Linked DNA regions of Drosophila melanogaster. The protein of the gene in region 3 interacts with the protein of the main gene of each other region in a pairwise test. Each region holds a gene or a part of one and is shown on either strand. Other genes may lie near its edges.

Region 1 (5,546 bases), on a different chromosome or scaffold from region 3:
TTTTTTGGAATACAATACACAATAATAGTTAAACATAGAAAATTTCGGCATTTCACAATTATTTCGTTGCACTTAGTCGGTAAATCAGTAATGAATAATCGGTATACTAGATCTCATATTTAGCTTTAGCATTCATTTCTCCAAGCGCTGTGTACTGAAATTGTTTCGAAATGGCACCGTTCGTGTGTGAGATATGCAGATGAAGTATGATTGTGGGCATTATTTCGATGAATCGAGAGTACACAGTGGTTCAGATTTCACATTGATTTGCTTAAGAGAACATAGGTGACAGTGCTTATCAGTTCAGTGAACCCCTAGTCAGTTCGCAAATGATACCAACATTGTAAAGCTATGTTCTTTCAGTCATGCTCGTTTCAAAAAAGTCAAGTCATTTCTGATCTATACACGTTTTCCCTCTTGACTCCTGCTTAGTCTATAGTGTGTCAGCTTTCTTTTGACTACGAATTGCAGTTAAGTTGTCCGTGATTTGTGTTTTTTAAAGTAATCAAGGCAAACAAAACTAAGAAACGATAAAAAAAAAGAATCCAACCTGGCGAATGAGATCCCTACCCGATGAACAATGAGCTTTGATGGAACAGTGTGCTGGCTTTTGATTTCCAATTGCGACTTACCCGAGTGCGAGGACTGGGAGTTCGGCGCATCGTGCTCGGATGGTGTGGTACCGCCGGAGATGTCCAAGGGCATCGTTTGGTTCACGCCGCCAATGTCGACTTCGGGCTTCTGCACGTGGGCACCGAGAAGAAAAAGAAAACAATTAGTGACTTTGCTCATGCGGACGAGGGTACAAGGTTAACGTGACCAATTTCATTACAATTTGCATGTGTAAGTGTCCGTGTCCATCGTCAAGATCCGAGTCCTGCGGCTGCTGCTCTAGCTCAGCGCTGGCCGACTCCTTGAGCAGCTTAGCCGCGTGCAGTGAGTGGCCGGCCAAGCCGCCGCCCGCACCAAATGTCATCTGGTTCATCTGGGCGAGACTGAGACCGGCGTTGCCGGCACCACTGCCCGCGTCCAGTGAGCTGTTGTGCTGCTCCTCCGCGTTGTTGCGATCGCCAGAACCTGCGTTATTACGAAAACCGGTTATTTTTTGAGACCTTACAATTTTGGATCTATCACGACGATGCTTTACCCAACTCCAACTCACCGTTATTCGAGGATTTGCGCAAGCGCTTGCGCCTGGTGGCCGGCGAGGTTCCAGCGCTCAAAGGCGACGGCGTACGTCGCATCTGGTGGTGATGCGTCTGCGCCGCCTGCGCCTGTCCGCTCTGCTGCTGCTGATGGTGGTGGTGATGGTGCTGCTGCTGTTGTTGCTGCTGCTGCGCCTGTTGTTGTTGCTGCTGCAACTGCTGCTGCTGCTGGTGGTGATGGTGCTGCTGCTGTGCCTGTTGCTGGGCCTGCTGTTGCTGCTGCTGCTGGAACTGTTGGGCCTCGCTGCTGCTCCACAGGGAGTCGCCGACGCTGCTTCCACTGCCGGCTCCCAGGCTGCCAGCCGAGTTGCCCGCTCCAGTGCCCACTCCCGCACCGCCCACCATCTCGGTGCCGTCGGTGGAGGACTTGCTATCCGACTTGGTAAGATTGGCCGGATCCGTTGGCATCTCCGCTAGGCCTTTGATCTTGAGCATCTCGGCGGTCTTGAGGATGTGCGGCAGCTGCTCCTGCGACACATTTACCTCGCCGTAGTACATAAAGTCCACCATGGTCTTTAGGTCATCGTACTGCACGTCCTTCAGGATGACAATGGGATGTTGGCACGGATTTGTGGTGAACAAAGCCTGTCGAACACATTTGAGTGTAATTCGTAAGGGATATACGCTGCGGCGATCTCCAACTTACCTGAAAGTACGAGCTGCAGGCGGATAGCACTATTTTGTGGGCCTGTAGTTGGCGACCCTCGGCTGCCAGGGTGACGTCCACCAGGGTGCCATTGTGCAGCAGCGAGGAGCACACGGAGATGAAGTTCGGCTGGTGGTTGTTCCACCGCAGGCAGAACTGCTGCACGGACATGATGTCGAGGGGTCCGGATCCGCGTCCGGGATGCGGATTTGGAGCTCCCTAAACCTCAATCTCCGGAGCAACCTCCTCCTCCTGCTCCCGCTCCTCCGCCTCCTGCTTCTTTCCTTCTTCGTAGCCAATTAATTCGCACTGATAACACTTTTTATCGCCTCCCGCTCGCCTCTATTGATTTTTATTAATTTTCCTTGCTTTCCGGTGTTTTGTTCGCTTTACTTTTTCGCTCCGACTTTTAATCAATTTAAATTTATGAACAATCGCAGTCTGTACATGTGTGTGTGCGTGTGGGGGGTCGGGATCACGGTTTTTTGGGGGGCGACGACTTCTATGCCGCACGCATCGCGAGTCACTGCAAAAAGGGGTAATAAAAATGGGGTTTAAATAAATCAAACATTATCGATGGTTACACAAATTGCTCAACAACAAATTCCACTCTCTCGCTTTCTTCCTCTCTCTCTCTCATCTGCTTTTCACAGCTGCGCGCTCTTCTCGCTTACAATAAAAAATCAAACAGAAACAACAACATCGGCGGGACTGCGTGTGTATGTAATTATACAGTCGCGAAAATGAAACACAACACACACACACACTGGAACACAACAGCCATACTTGTTGTTGTTGCTGCTCACTGGCCAAAGTTTTATTTTTGATAAAACCGAGAACGTAACGAAATCGTATAGCTTTTTGTATAGCCGCAGTGCTGTAGACCTTGAATTTTCTTTAATTCTTATGACGTAATTATATACGCGCCCCGCGCTCCTCCATCTCTTTCGCACTTAATCGCCTTCCCCATTCCCGTCTTCCTCACTCTCTCACCCACACAGACGACCGCCGACGACGTACTAATCGCTGCTTCTTCGTTTATTCATCGTATCGATATTTTCAGTTTTCAGTGTTTCAGTCGTATTTATTTATGTGCATGTCGCGCGTTATTTTCGTATGTCTTTTAGAGGCACAAAGATGATGCTCGAACTAGCCAAGCCGCCACATGTTATTCACTCGCTTTTCCCCCCACAGAATTCCTTTTCCTCTTGCTTTTTATCGCTTTTACAAACTTTGACTTTTTGTGGTAGGTTTTTGCTGTTGTATTTCTTCTTTTTCTTTTGCTTTCCAAAAACAAAATGGCGCGCAACAAATTTATGCGAGGGGCAAAACAACGCCGAAAACTGTTAGAGCGAGCTGAATTTCAATGCCTTTGACTGGCTCACTCTTTGCGCCAACTTTTTTACCACTTTTTACATTATTTTAATGCGGATTTCCTGGCGAAAAACGCATATGAAAATTCTTACGTTTTACTTCTTTATGCGAAAGATTTTTGTGACTATATGGCAACTTTGTATACAACGAGTTGACAGGTCGCTTAATAGTGTGACCAGTCCTAGATCAAAACTAGTATCCCAATTGTTAAAGATTGTCCCAAATTTTAAAATAATTTGTTTATTGTATTTAAATGGTTAACATTTGAATTGTTGTTTTAAAATGTTGACTTCGGTTATACATCTGATGAATCACAATCGGCGTTGCCACACTTTCCCCGCATTGTTCGTACTTAACGGAACCAGTTCGGTTCCCTTGGTGACTCGCGAATTTGTTGTTGGCTTTGGCTAGAGATGACAGTATTGAATAAACAACGATAGCCTGCAGCAGTCAAATTAAACTAATTGTGCTTATTGGGCGGCCAAATACGTAAATATCACTCAAAAGCCGTTATAAGGTACAAAAATAAGGGTAAGAATTGTTAAAAGCTGATTTCAACCAGTAAAACACCATTTCAACCCATCGATATTCGCATATCCATGCTCGCCGGTATCGATGCATTTTCCCATGTTCATCTCTAAGCAGCAGCTGCAAAAAAAATCAACTATACTATTTTACATTCGGTCCGTAAAGTTTATGAGAAAAGAGCTGCCTACAGGATTCCAGATACCGTTATGGAGGAACTACGCAAGCATTTATCCAAGGTGAACGTGCCATGCGCATCCGGGGCGGGCAGTCCTCCCATCTACAAGGACGAGTGCGTCTACTCCTATGACAATCCCGAGACGCCCACCGGTTTGTACGTGTGCCTGCACAGCTTTTTGGGCTTCGGCGAGGCGTATGTGCGGGAGTATGCCGACAAGACCGGCAACCGGGTCTTCCTCCACATCCAGCGGGTGAAGACGATCAAGGAGGGCGCCGACATGGAGGCCGAATGCGCGGAGTCGGAGGCAGGACCGGAACGGAAGATCACCCGCCTGGCCATTGGCGTCGAGGGCGGCTACAACGAGTCGGACATGGCCAAGAAGTACGAGATCAAGGACACGTACAGCATCGTGGTGGCTCCGCACCTGGATAAGAAGCTGCCCTATCCGGATCCAGAGCTGCCCATGCGTGTCACCCAGTCGGTGGAAGCGATCCTGGCCGCCGACTCGGCAATTGCCAAGTTGGAGAAGGCCACGCTGATGGGTGAGTTGCAGGATTGTTATCCCATGCTGACGAAGGTAGCCTAAAATCAATAATTTTTCAGGCACCTGGGATGGTGAAGTGCGTCAGGCGTCGAAGTACGCAGATAACCTGCAGCAGCTGGATAATGGCAAGAGGATTCCCCCATCCGGCTGGCAGTGCGAGAAGTGCGACTTGACCAACAACCTCTGGCTTAATCTGACCGATGGTTCGATCATGTGCGGACGCAAGTTCTTTGACGGCAGTGGCGGCAACGATCACGCCGTGGAGCACTACAGAGTAACGGGTTTCCCGCTGGCGGTGAAACTGGGCACCATCACCGCTGATGGCAAGTCGGATGTGTTCTCCTACCCGGAGGATGAAATGGTACTCGATCCACACTTAGAGCGCCATCTCTCCCACTTTGGCATCAACATGGCGGCGATGAAGAAGAGCGAGAAGTCGATGGTGGAGCTAGAGTTGGACATTAACCAGCGCATCGGCGAGTGGACGGCGCTTACGGAGAGCGAAAGTGAGCTGCAGCCTGTTGCTGGTCCTGGATACACTGGCATGCGCAATCTGGGCAACTCCTGCTACATAAACAGCGTGATGCAAGTGCTCTTCGTCATCCCAGACTTCCAGCAGCGGTTCGTGGGCACTGGAGCGGAACGCTATTTCAAAGAGTTTCCCAGCGACCCGGCCAACGACTTCAATATTCAAATGGCCAAGCTGGGAACTGGTCTGCAGTCGGGAAAGTACAGCAGTATTGCCGAGAACACTTTGGACACCGATCACAGCACCGGAATATCGCCGGCCATGTTTAAGAACATTGTGGGCAAGAATCACCCAGATTTCAGCACCAAACAGCAGCAAGATGCCAACGATTTCTATCTGCATTTGCTCACCCTGCTGGACAGGAATTCGCGGAACCAAACAAATCCCGCAGATGCTCTAAAGTTCCTGCTGGAGGATCGCGTTGAGTGTCTGGCCAGCCACAAGGTGAAGTACAATACCCGCGAGGAATACAGCTTCCGTCTGCCTGTTCCGTTGGACAAGGCCACCAATCTGGATGAGGTGCGGGAGTTCCAGGAGCGTAA
Region 2 (6,534 bases), on a different chromosome or scaffold from region 3:
ATCTGGGGAAGCAATAGATGTCGACAAAAAAAAAGAAGCCGCAAAATGTTTTTTTTTTTTTTTTGCCTCAAAGGGCGAATGAATCCAATGCGAAGCAAACCGACGAAAAGGCAATTTGAGTTATTTAAATAATATTACAATATCAAATTGGGTTTGCAGCCAACCGATTAATCACATCCGACAAGGGACAACATCCAAGCAGATGTTGGAAACCCAAAAAATCGACTGCGGAAGATAGGAATATAAACACCGGCAATCCCAAGTGATCTTCAAGCTGTAATAGAAAGGGTATTGTTTCTACAAAAGTTATGGAACTTCATGATCTTGTAATAAAAAATAAAAATAAATGAATGCACAAGAATACTTCAAAGATACAAGATACATTAGCTATAAAGATACCTATGCCTAAACGATGGCATTTTCCAACACATATCAATGGCAATTTTTGAAAATATTTGGTTCTAGCCCAAAATCCATATTATCCATATTCCATATTATTATAAAAATTATATCATTTATAAGCAATAACCGCATATTCCCAAATATATGCAAATATATTACTTAAATAAGAGTTGTGGCAGATGTGCATAATTTTCATTGGTTAAATCCTAACAAACGTTGTTCAAATATTTTTTAACTTCAGAAAAACCCTATCTCAGTACTGTTTCAAATTTTCGAGATATATATATAAGAAATCTCTCAAAGAAATCGCTTAACTTTCTTCCACTTTAGTTTTGGTTCTACTCAACATTACACTCGAATTAACATCTAGAAAAATGCCAAATGAATATGAAAACGCAGCTTTTCAAGAGAAACTTAAAAAAAAGTTGCATAATTTTATAGACTGATCCTATTATAGATGCAGCGAACTTTCACTTTAAATTACCACAAATTAGAAACCTAAATGGAAAGAGATGGAATCAGCTGGCCAGGAATCAGAAAGGGATGGCAAATAAATGAAAACACAGTTTTCTAGTTCATTATGAATTATTTTTATCAATTCGCCTTTGTGTGTGCTTCTCTTGCTGAATTCGCTTCAATTACAATACATATCTAAGAATATTTTAATCCGAATGGTAAACAAACAAAAAAAAAATTTAATTCTTTTTATCCATATAAAAGTTGATTTTCACTTGATGTTATTTCTTCGTTTTTGTTTTTCATTTCTTATATGTTGATGTGTTTGATGCATTAAATATTAGAATTATACAAACATAATAATATTAACAACATTAGATTAATGCAAAATAGAGAAGTTGGGGGAATGGGCCTGGGATGGGGGTGGTTAAAAACTAAAAAAGGTGCATGCTTTACTGTGTAAAAAGTAAACATTGTTGACCACAAATATCAATGTCAATAAAACAAAACATATAACCAAAGAGCTGGGTTGAATGTGTGTATGGTAATGGGTATGGGTATGGTATGGGTGTGTGTGTGTGTGTGTGTGTTATAGCCTAGAGTACATAAGTAGAGCTCAATTAAAGTTAATGTCGGTTAGGGGCGTGGCGGCGTAGGCGGCTGGGCGGCGGCCTACAAGGCAACGATCACGCGATCGCACAGCTATTCCGACTGCTGCTCGTCGGCGTCTTGCAGCGGTTCTTGCTCTTGGAGCTCTGGGTCAGTGAATTGAAGCACTGGGACGTGGTCAGCGCGTATGACTTGAGCGTCGACTTCACCGACGGCGGCAGCGGCAGCGAATCGATCGCATACACGCTCGTCCTTCGCACAATTGTCCTGCAGCACAATTCCTGAAGCGACAGCACTGCAATGGCATTCAAAGTGGGTTACTAAGTGAATTAACGAACAATATACATGTCTTTCTGCTGGGGAGAGTGCATTTCGAGTTTTCTCTAAAGTTCATCTGATAAGTTCATAAGTTCATAAGTTTTAGTTATTTGTGAATCAACAAAAGTTCACACATTATAGCGATTAAGTGTTATTCAACGGTCGGAAAAAGATTAATGATTGGCTTGACATAATGAACGCTTTAATTGGAGCTCAATCAAAATTGACCTCAAGGCCTTGTCATGACTTTTTCACAATTTAACTAAAAATAGAAGAGATTAATGAAATTGAACCTGGTCTACACAAACTAGATAATGAATTACTGTTCGTTAAACTCGAAAGGCACTATCCTTCTCCCATTGAATAACCTAGTTATATTTACCCTTATTGCTGCGCCAGATGTGCTCCATGCCGTTGCGATGCAGGGCCATCCGCGCCAGTTCGCAAAAGGACTCGCGGATGTTGAAGTTGCAGAGAGGCGATATCTCGAAGCAGGACATATTGTTGCGGCTGGCGTAGGTCTCGGCCTGTTTGGCCGCCACCTGTCGCTTGAAGGCCAAGTGCAGGCGATTCCCGACAAGAACCTTCGGAATTCCTGGGGCGTGCTGTAAATTAATCGTACATATGGAGTTAATAATGGAAAGCATTAATGGTAAACCAAGAAAGGAAAACACATTGGAATCTATAATCTAATCTTCGTTACAGCATTGTCGTATTAATTGTGAATCTATCTTGTAAAAATATAAGTAGCCACACTTTAAGTACTAATTTACAGCTAGTAAAAATGTCGTAACAAAGATCTCTCCAATGTGCTGCCTTTCCTAATCCCATTTTTAATTTCCAACTGACCTCGTCGACCTCCTTGAGCCACCGATCGATACCGTCGAAGCTCCACTTGTTGGTGATGTCGTAGACGAGGATGATGCCCTGGGCGCCGCGCGAATAGGAGCGAATGATCGTGCAGAAGCGTCCCTGGCCGGAGGTGTCCCACAGCTGCAGCTTCACCCGCTTGCCCTCCAGCAGGATGGTGGTCGTCTTGTAGGCTACCGTTTGAAGGATATGAGATGTGCAGTCTATTAGATTGGCTTGCATATCCGGTGGTCGTTCAAAGGATATACCCAGCACTTACCGTTCCCACTGCAGAAGGGACTCTCCGTGGAGGGATCCTCCAGGTTTGAGAGAATCTCGTGCTTGCCCACATCGCTGTCGCCCACCAGTAGAACCTTTAGCAGATAGTCGTAGTCCTTGGTCATGGTTCCCATGTGGCTGGCATGGTAGAGAAATTTAAATATTGTAATTAAATAGATACATATATTTGAATAATAATAATAATAATAATGCAACTAGTTAAATTTCCAAGGTATTTCTACATATTACTAGAACTTGATGTCACAAACGTGACGACGTGTTTTTTGAATATTTAAATGGATTGTAAAAGGTGTGTGTACCTCAAACTTTTAAGCAGCTCAACACATTTTCTAGGGCAAAGTATTTTTAAATACATAGTTCCTCTAGAGTGTTCCATATGAATGCCGGAAATTACCTTACACACTCATTTTTCTATTTTAGAATTTGTTTTTTTTTTTTAGATAACTCAGTTAACAAAATATAACCGCTAGGGGTTTACTCATTGAATGAGACATTTTTTTTCTTCTTTTACGTAATTTTAATTGAAATTAAATGTGGGCTAGGGTTTTGTGGCCAAAGTGGTTGTGGTTCTTAAACATTGTTTTTTTTTTTTGCATTTTCTTAACCGGGCTAACCGGTATTTTTGAACCGGCAATATTTGTGCGTTCTATTTTTGCAGACAAAGTAATTTTCTATGTGAGTCATGGTAATAAAAACTATAAACATAAGCATTGCACTTATTTATAGATTTTCGCACTTGTTTTCATTTCGCGCACTGTAAAAGGATTTTCCACATGCACACACACATTCGCACAGGTAAAAAGTGGGTGTGTTTTGGTTTTGCATGAAAATGTATTTCACAATTTATCGAAGTGTACAAAACCATTAAAGCGTGTAATTGTTGCGTTTTATGCACTTTGTTTTACAAACAAAAAGAGAAATAAACGAAAATAGAGAAAAACATTTGCGTATTAGTGTGCGTGCTTATTTTGATTGTTGTTTTTGCTGCAAATGCCGAGGAATGTTTATTGCTTTTCCTCACAGCAATTGGAAAACAATTAATTATAGCCGGTTATTTGTGTATTTTGTTTAGTGAACAGCACTAACCGTTTTTTCTGGACGTTTAACTTACCATTTAGAATGCACGCAGTTTCATTTTCGTATTTGTAATAGAGATGAGCGAGTTTCCTCGCTTTGGCGACTTCACCTCGGCGGGCTTTACACGCTTTTTCAGTCTTACGATTTAAGCAAGTTAAATCGCGGCTATATATCCCATATATTCCAATTTATTGCTGTTTATTTGTTGTTTTTTCTGCTGCGAATATTAAAACAGAAAATTGCAATTTCGCTCATCTCTATAGGGATGGAAGAACTGCTAGTTTGCGCATATCGATAAGCCATCGATAGTCGACGGATGGGCTAAGCAGTGTTGTTCAAGATATTAAAAATGTAGTTCTTGCAATTATATGCGAAATTTAAACATTTTTATTTTATTATTTTGTGCAAACATTTATGTGCTAAATCTAAGCATAACTTTTTATATATCAAATTGAAACAATTTTACTTTAAGCTAAATGCTACATTATATTATTACCACTAAGTATTTTTCATTCTGAATGCATTAACTATTTATTTTCGGAAATTTAAGAATTAAATACTTTATAGTTTGGCACTTTTCCTAGATTTTTACCTTTACAAAAACTATCTAGGCAGCTATCTAGATATCGCAATTGGCGTGCTGCTTATCGGACAGTCGCGCTATCGGCCGGGTGTCATCGCCAGTGCGTTCGAACAAAACGGAACAGAACAGAACAGAAATTCGAAGCGCTGCCAAATATACACACACGATTGTTCCGACTGTATCGCTCCGATCCGAAAAAATCCGAGATCCGAATTCGCAGGACAAGAGCAACAGAGCGCGCGCTAACGGATTTATTAAATGCACATGCATATATTTATTTATAAACGCGAGTTTCTGGTCGGGAACTAAAGTGCAGGTCACCGACGCCTCTGCCGCAGCCGCTGCCTCCGTCGACGTCGCAGTTGCGGTAGCTGTTGCTGCTTGTTTTTTTTTTTGTTATTACTGTTTACAGAGGTGCGCGTTAACTGTGCTAAAAAAAATATAGAAATATATATTTGTGTGCCTTTGTGCAAGTGCTGATTTTGTTTGGCTTTTTTTTTGGGTTGTCATTATTTTGCACACACAAATTGCGATTTAACTAAGTGTTTGTGTGTGTGTGTGGCGCAGCTATATATATATATAAAGATATACCTATGCTGGCCCTGGCCCCGCCCACCACGCCGCCCCCTCGAAATGCACCGTTAGCCGCGAAATCGAAATCGAATCGTTTTGCTGCAACCGCAATGCTGTCCAACGGCTCTGCTGGCGTCTCTGCCGACGTTGACGTCGCCGCCGGCGGCGCTGCCGACTGTGATGAGCGAACGCTTTTGCTAAGCGAGGAGATTGTTGTTGCGCCGCTGCCTGCGTCGGCATTCTCTGCCGGCGTCGCTGCTGCTGCGCCGCCAACGTCGCTGCCACTGGTGCACACAACAACAACGCAGCAAAACAACAACAATGTGAACAACAACAATAATGGTTCGCTTGTGGTCAGTGCGAAAAACATGGCTAATAATAAAAGTAATAAGAATAGCAGCAAATGCAAAAACAACGAGGCCAGCAGCAGCAACAACAACAATGCGGCGACAGCAGCAGCAACAACAGCAACGACGACAGGAGAAGAACCGGTAACAACAACAATAACAACTGCAACAACAGCAGCTGATGATGAGGATATATCCAGCGATCTGAGCGATAAATTCCCACGCCCCCAAAAGAAACCCGGCAAACTGAGCAAATTGGGCACCAAAAGCGTCGGCCTCAAACGGTAAATCTCCAACAATTACTTACTCTTATTCAAGCTATTCAATTTATACATTATATACAACTGTCTTGGTGATAGTTTAGTTAGTGTACTTATTCTCCTTACTTCATTAGCTATAATTCAATCTTTAAAGTCTCTTAGTTTTCCCATAATTTTAACTCCAGAGTAAGGAACTTACATTATATTTTCGAAAATTCTATAATAGGTATTAGAAAGTCTTTAATTTCGTGATTATCACTTAAAAGCAACCTGACCGATTGATTATAATTTCGATTTTGCCTCGCAACAAAGCACAGCTATATATCTTGAAAGGTATTCAAGGGATTACTTGTCGATTATTTATCCTGAAATGAAATTGATTTAGTTTGACAGTAACATGAACACTAGTTAACAAGTTCGTGATTTCTGAAAGTTTCCTGTCTTAATTTTTTTTGTTTTTTTTTTTTTGAAAACATACTTTGAAATCTCTTACACTTTTTCCGCTAGAGTCTACTGCCTTAAGTAGACTGATCTTGTATAATATCCTTTTTATATTTTAATCGTTTATAATGAAAGGATATAGGAGTATATTTTGCTAAGTTAATTTGTTAATAGGTATTATTTTATTATATACTAACTGTTTGTGTCCACAGCGTCTCCTTTGGGTCCTCGAAGGGTTCGATGGTGGAGACGCTCGTCTTCGAGACGCCGACGCCGTTGTCGGAGCACATGGAGTCCACTTTTGGGTTCGATGCCGCAG
Region 3 (4,887 bases):
AATCCTTTGTACCCCCGGATACAACACCCACAAGTTGTTGGTCAAACACCAACGGTCCACCAGAGTCTCCTTTACAAGCCGCCCTTCCAAAAGATCCGGCGCATATTCTTGACGGTTCAGTTAATCCACAATAGTACGGCCATTGAATGTAAAGGTTTACTCCTTGAAGATCGATGGGATGTGAGTAATAAGAAGAACTTCCCCAGCCAGAGACGAAGGCAATCGATCCAGGCGGGGGATTTGTCTTGGCCAATGGAATGGGCTGAACTTGGTTTGTGAACTCAAGTGGCTTACTTAGCCGCACGATGGCGATGTCGTTTCCTAATCCCTCATGCGTCCTTATAGCGGCCACATCGACAACACTTCCATTGGAGTTCTTCAAGGCGGATCCTGCCCGAACTTGATATCCCTGGCCCTGGACGCAATGGGCCGCAGTAATGATGATATCTGCGCTGTAAATGGAGCCACCGCATAAATGTTTGCCATCACGTTGTATGGACACCTGCCATGGTGCCTCCTCGATTCCAATGGGTTGTCCACCGATAATGCGTTCTTCCGGCCGGATTACTGGTCCTGCGGACAGGGAATTGAGCGCCAATAGCAACAGGAAGCTTTGGATGAACATCTTGACCAGTTTGTATGATACTTTGAATTGCAGTGGCTTCACGTCCAAAGTAACCAGTCTTTTATACACAACTCAGTTAGCAATATTCTATTTGAACCTCAGTAATAGTTTATGTATCTAGATATAGAATATTCTCTATTCTTGTAAAGCAATCAAAATATTGAAAAATACTTCATTCGCTAAATATAAACATCATAAATAATTTAGCTGCCTTTTGCTTTCAAGAAATTTTTATCGCTAACGGTGAAAATGTGGAGGGGCAATAACATTTCTGGAATTTTCTAATTAACTAAGTTTGCAATTTGGTTTGTTCTGCGTTTATAAATGTTGAAAGAAAATTTCCAACTGATTAAGCCATCCGAAGTGGTAGAATGACTGCAGAGAGTCGTCCAAACTAAACAAACTAAACTTTCTGTCCGCAGGACGAGTAATCCGACTGGTGGTTAAAAAACCTATTGAAATCGAAAAGGTTCCCTGATTGGTTTCCTTACAATATTATGGAAACCTTACTTGTTAAGGGTCCTTTAAAAATGAAGATACCATCATAACAGCGGTCCCCTGGTCGTAATTAATAACGTTTTTTGAATATTGGCTTTTAATCGTGTTCAATTTCGTGGCAAAACTTTTGAAAAAAGTATCTTAACTTTACAACAACTTTTTAAGCTTTCACGGTGATGGCATCAGGTCATTCGTCAGTTCATCATCCTTCTGATACACTTTGCGGATTTCTTTCATGGCTTATCCAGTTCTGCAAAAACTTATCGTACTCCCTCCGGCTGCGGCAAAGAATTACAAGAGAGGAGGGTCGACAACCGTGCGATTTCAGTTCTTCCATGCGCTCCTTTGTGGTTTTCAGGCTGTGGCATAGAATTCGAGGATTTTGAGCGACCTCAAATCTGGTAAACTGGGCCTCATCGAGTAGGTAGTCTAGCACCTCTTTGATCTGAAGGCAAAATTGTATAGCTTATGATTGTTTGAGTTAACCCATTGTGACTTACCTTGGTAACTCGCACGGTGTGCACCTGCGGATGTTTGTCCATGATTGCCTTGGCTTCACTGGTGCTGAAACCAAGACGATGCGCTAAGTATTCCACCACGGAGGAGAACTCTCCCAAAACCTTCAGTTCGTCGAGAGAAAGCTTCAGGGAGCGCTGCAGTATTGGCTCCGGGCAGCGCACCATCCACGGCATGATCTTGTCCTTTTTCGCCCGCTTGGCGCGCTCCAAACGCAACTGAACAGACTTTGGAGTATAGCGAAAGGCCCATAGATCCTTGAGTACGTTTATTGGCGACACATTGTAGTCGATCATGTGCTGCAGGTTCTTTTCGAACATCTCGAACGGCATTTCCAGGATAAACAGCCTCTTCGATAGATATTTGCTCACAATATCGGGGCTGACATCCAGCTTTTCGCTGATATAGTAGACACGATTTCGCTGTGGCATTGCATCCCTCTCAGAGTTCAGAGCACCCACCAGTTTTCGAAGACGTGGAACAGTGAGGCGCAGGAAAGGCACAAAATGATTGATGTCCTTAAAGTCCATTGACTTGAGTAGCTGCATCTTTAGCTCCAAGCGTTCTGAATAGATAAACAAATAACCGATGATTTAATCACATAAAGGATATAAAGCAAATGAGCTTACTATTGTCCAGCGACAGTAGCCAAGGATACTCCACGAAGCTGCGCCTGCTAACGCCCTCTAGCTGCAGTGTGTCCATGACCAGAGTCAGTGATCTACCGCGGTAGCAGCGGTGCACCAGCTCGTCGCTGATTATCTTTTGGAGCTCAGCGTCCGTGAAGCGAAAACGTTCCCGCAGAGCTTCGAGGAGCACCCGCGTCTTGGTTCCAGTCTCCCGATCCTGGCGATAAGGCACATAATCGTTTTCCGCCTCGTTGCTACCTAAAGTGCCACTGGAGGTCAGTCTGCTCGGACTGGCGCGGTTTTCGTACTGCGAGAAGAGTAGGCGCCTGCTGCAGTGCATTGGGTGCATATTTAAGCCGGCATGCAGCTTGAGTGCCGTCTCAAAGCTGCGCAGAAGGCTTCTAATCATCCCGAATTTGCTTAATTTACAGAATCAAGACAGAAAATAAAGTTCTTCAACTTATAAAACAAGCGGAAAACAGCTGATATGTTGCGGCGATAAACAGCTGACCAAGTGGGCCAACTGAAAGCTGGAGTATACGACACTCAAACAATTATCGTTATCGGTTTTGAAAATAATGACCGTTATTCGGAACAGCAATTTAATAAATTTAGCATTTGTTTTCTAGGAAAATATAATAACTTTTCTAGGTGCAATTGATTTCATAATATGTTTAGGAAGTGTGCTGGTTCATACACAATAACATACACATACACTTTTTAAATATAAGTGTGAAACACTTCCAATATTTATTTTCAAATCTACTAAGCATTCTTAGACAGAGAGTCCCACAATTGAAATCACTCCCATTTTATCAACGAACTTTTTGATTTTATTTTCAAAAATACTACGCTCCAAAGCTAATCGGAACATTAACGCTAAACAAAGACTTGTAGGATTTTGAACAAATCATGAAAACATCTATCACAAGCACTACTCCACATCGATGTCTTTTGTGACGCGACCCACCCAGTAAACGAATCCGGTCTGCACCACGGTGGCCATGAACTTGACGTTGCCCTTGTAGCCTGCTGGCGGAATCCAGTCGAAGGTGATGCCGGTCAGCGGCTTGCCCTTTTGCGCACTCAGATGGGTGATGGTGTCGTCCTTGCCGGAGCAGTCCAAGGTCTGCGAGTGCACGGAGTCCACCACCTGGAACTGGCCGACGACGCGGTTCTGGCCATCGCGTGCCTGGATCATGAAGCCAAGGAACTCATCGCCGCCCAGCGTCAGGGTCAGCTTTTGATCCGAGCGCACATGGGAGGGTCCGGAGATGCTGTACGGCGGCTTGGTCACCTGCAGCTTGGCTCCGTGCTGGGGCGTCAGGTCACGACAGGCGGCCTTTGGGATAATGAAGATGGGAATATAAGGAATCTATCCGTCATGTATTTCGATGGGGCAGGTTCATACCTTTGGAGCACCATCGGAGTAGGCGTGGACACTGATGGCCAGGCAGGCCGCAAGAACCAACAAACGGAACATATCTGTTTAAGGGAAAATTAAAAATAATATCACATGAGTTGGAAACATCGCTTTAGTAACGATTAAAATCCAGTTGGTTGGCTTAATTATGCTACATCACTGTGAAGAACAGTCCACGTAGTGACGAAGCGCACCAAGTGAGTGTGCGAAATCCTTCCATTTTCCATAACCGAATATGCTTAAGCAGAACAAGTTTTAATGACACAAGTACTTGTCAATGTTTCTACTTTCAACTTCTAGTGCTTTCAAGTTGAATCCAATTACATATTAAAATATATTTACTGCCGGTCATTGTTTAACATTTTTAGATTCGTGCATGCTGCTTAATTGCGTTAACTAGTTTTTCATAAATTAATTAATTAACATTTCCACTCAAGTGAGACTTTTTTCACTGGCCTTGGCCAGTTTGACTTTGCTTAAGTTTTTTATTTATTTAGTTTTTTTTTTTTCCTTTTCAAAGTTTACACTTGTATACGTGGGCAGGCGCAAATATATTGAAAACTAGCTCCAATTATGCAGTTTGTCAACGCCAACGTTTATTATGCAGTTTGTTCGGTCCCAGTTGTCGCCATAATGGGTATATTTCTCTGCAGCCTTGACTGTTGACAGTCTGTGATTCTACAAGATTTGTGGATTAGGCTGCAGTGTTACTGTCTGATTTGTAATAACCAGTATTAGTGCCGAAAAAAAATGTCAATCAAAACATTTTAATTATTTACGGGAAACCACTCGAAGTGAACTTAACATTTCAATCACGATCGGCTCGTAAATCTTCAGATTCGCAGAATTAAGAAGGCGCAGACAAAAGCTTTGTTCAATATTGAAATTGGCCAAGATGCATGTTGATTAAACCAATTTTTAAAAAATCATCAAACTGGTTTTTCGGACGTAAACGAAAACTGTTTAAAGCCAAACCAGTTTGCAGTACATTTCCATAGAAGAGTAACTCTTTTTTTTACCGTGCGATAAAAATCGCCTAGAAATGACAAGTGACAATTGAAGACAACAGCCTAAGTACTTCCTCAAATCGAATTCTCAGGTTCAAGGTGGATTGGAGGCTTGTGGAGTTCGAAGTACCGATCTGATTGATCGTCGGCCTCCTCCACTTGGGTCGCCATGGATTCGAAAAGACCTTG

The links.
Region 1: the proteins of mTTF (region 3) and BtbVII interact in a two-hybrid assay, tested with the Drosophila melanogaster proteins (one large-scale study listed by BioGRID).
Region 2: the proteins of mTTF (region 3) and Rab40 interact in a two-hybrid assay, tested with the Drosophila melanogaster proteins (one large-scale study listed by BioGRID).

What each region holds. Positions count from the first base shown.
Region 1 is NT_037436.4:3,146,459-3,152,004, reverse strand, and holds the start of BtbVII (BTB-protein-VII), read right to left. Parts: upstream 3,360-5,546; 5' UTR 3,318-3,359; intron 3,306-3,317; exon of another isoform or gene 3,268-3,305; intron 3,104-3,267; exon of another isoform or gene 3,084-3,103; intron 2,873-3,083; exon of another isoform or gene 2,845-2,872; intron 2,378-2,844; 5' UTR 2,023-2,377; coding exon 1,852-2,022; intron 1,791-1,851; coding exon 1,163-1,790; coding exon of another isoform or gene 1,148-1,162; intron 1,078-1,147; coding exon 833-1,077; coding exon of another isoform or gene 821-832; intron 742-820; coding exon 633-741; intron 1-632. Other genes in the region: Usp5 (ubiquitin specific protease 5), read left to right, coding at 3,960-4,473, 4,535-5,546.
Region 2 is NC_004354.4:12,458,822-12,465,355, forward strand, and holds Rab40 (Rab40), read right to left. Parts: upstream 4,292-6,534; 5' UTR 4,046-4,291; intron 3,341-4,045; exon of another isoform or gene 3,234-3,340; intron 3,052-3,233; 5' UTR 3,048-3,051; coding exon 2,915-3,047; intron 2,859-2,914; coding exon 2,635-2,858; intron 2,391-2,634; coding exon 2,168-2,390; intron 1,763-2,167; coding exon 1,545-1,762; 3' UTR 975-1,544; downstream 1-974. Other genes in the region: CG42258 (uncharacterized protein), read left to right, coding at 5,278-5,798, 6,428-6,534.
Region 3 is NT_033779.5:14,346,030-14,350,916, forward strand, and holds mTTF (mitochondrial transcription termination factor), read right to left. Parts: upstream 2,762-4,887; 5' UTR 2,678-2,761; coding exon 2,269-2,677; intron 2,205-2,268; coding exon 1,624-2,204; intron 1,569-1,623; coding exon 1,326-1,568; 3' UTR 1,210-1,325; downstream 1-1,209. Other genes in the region: Send2 (spermathecal endopeptidase 2), read right to left, coding at 1-625; l(2)34Fc (lethal (2) 34Fc), read right to left, coding at 3,203-3,610, 3,680-3,751. UniProt on the Drosophila melanogaster protein: Transcription termination factor. Binds promoter DNA and regulates mitochondrial replication and transcription.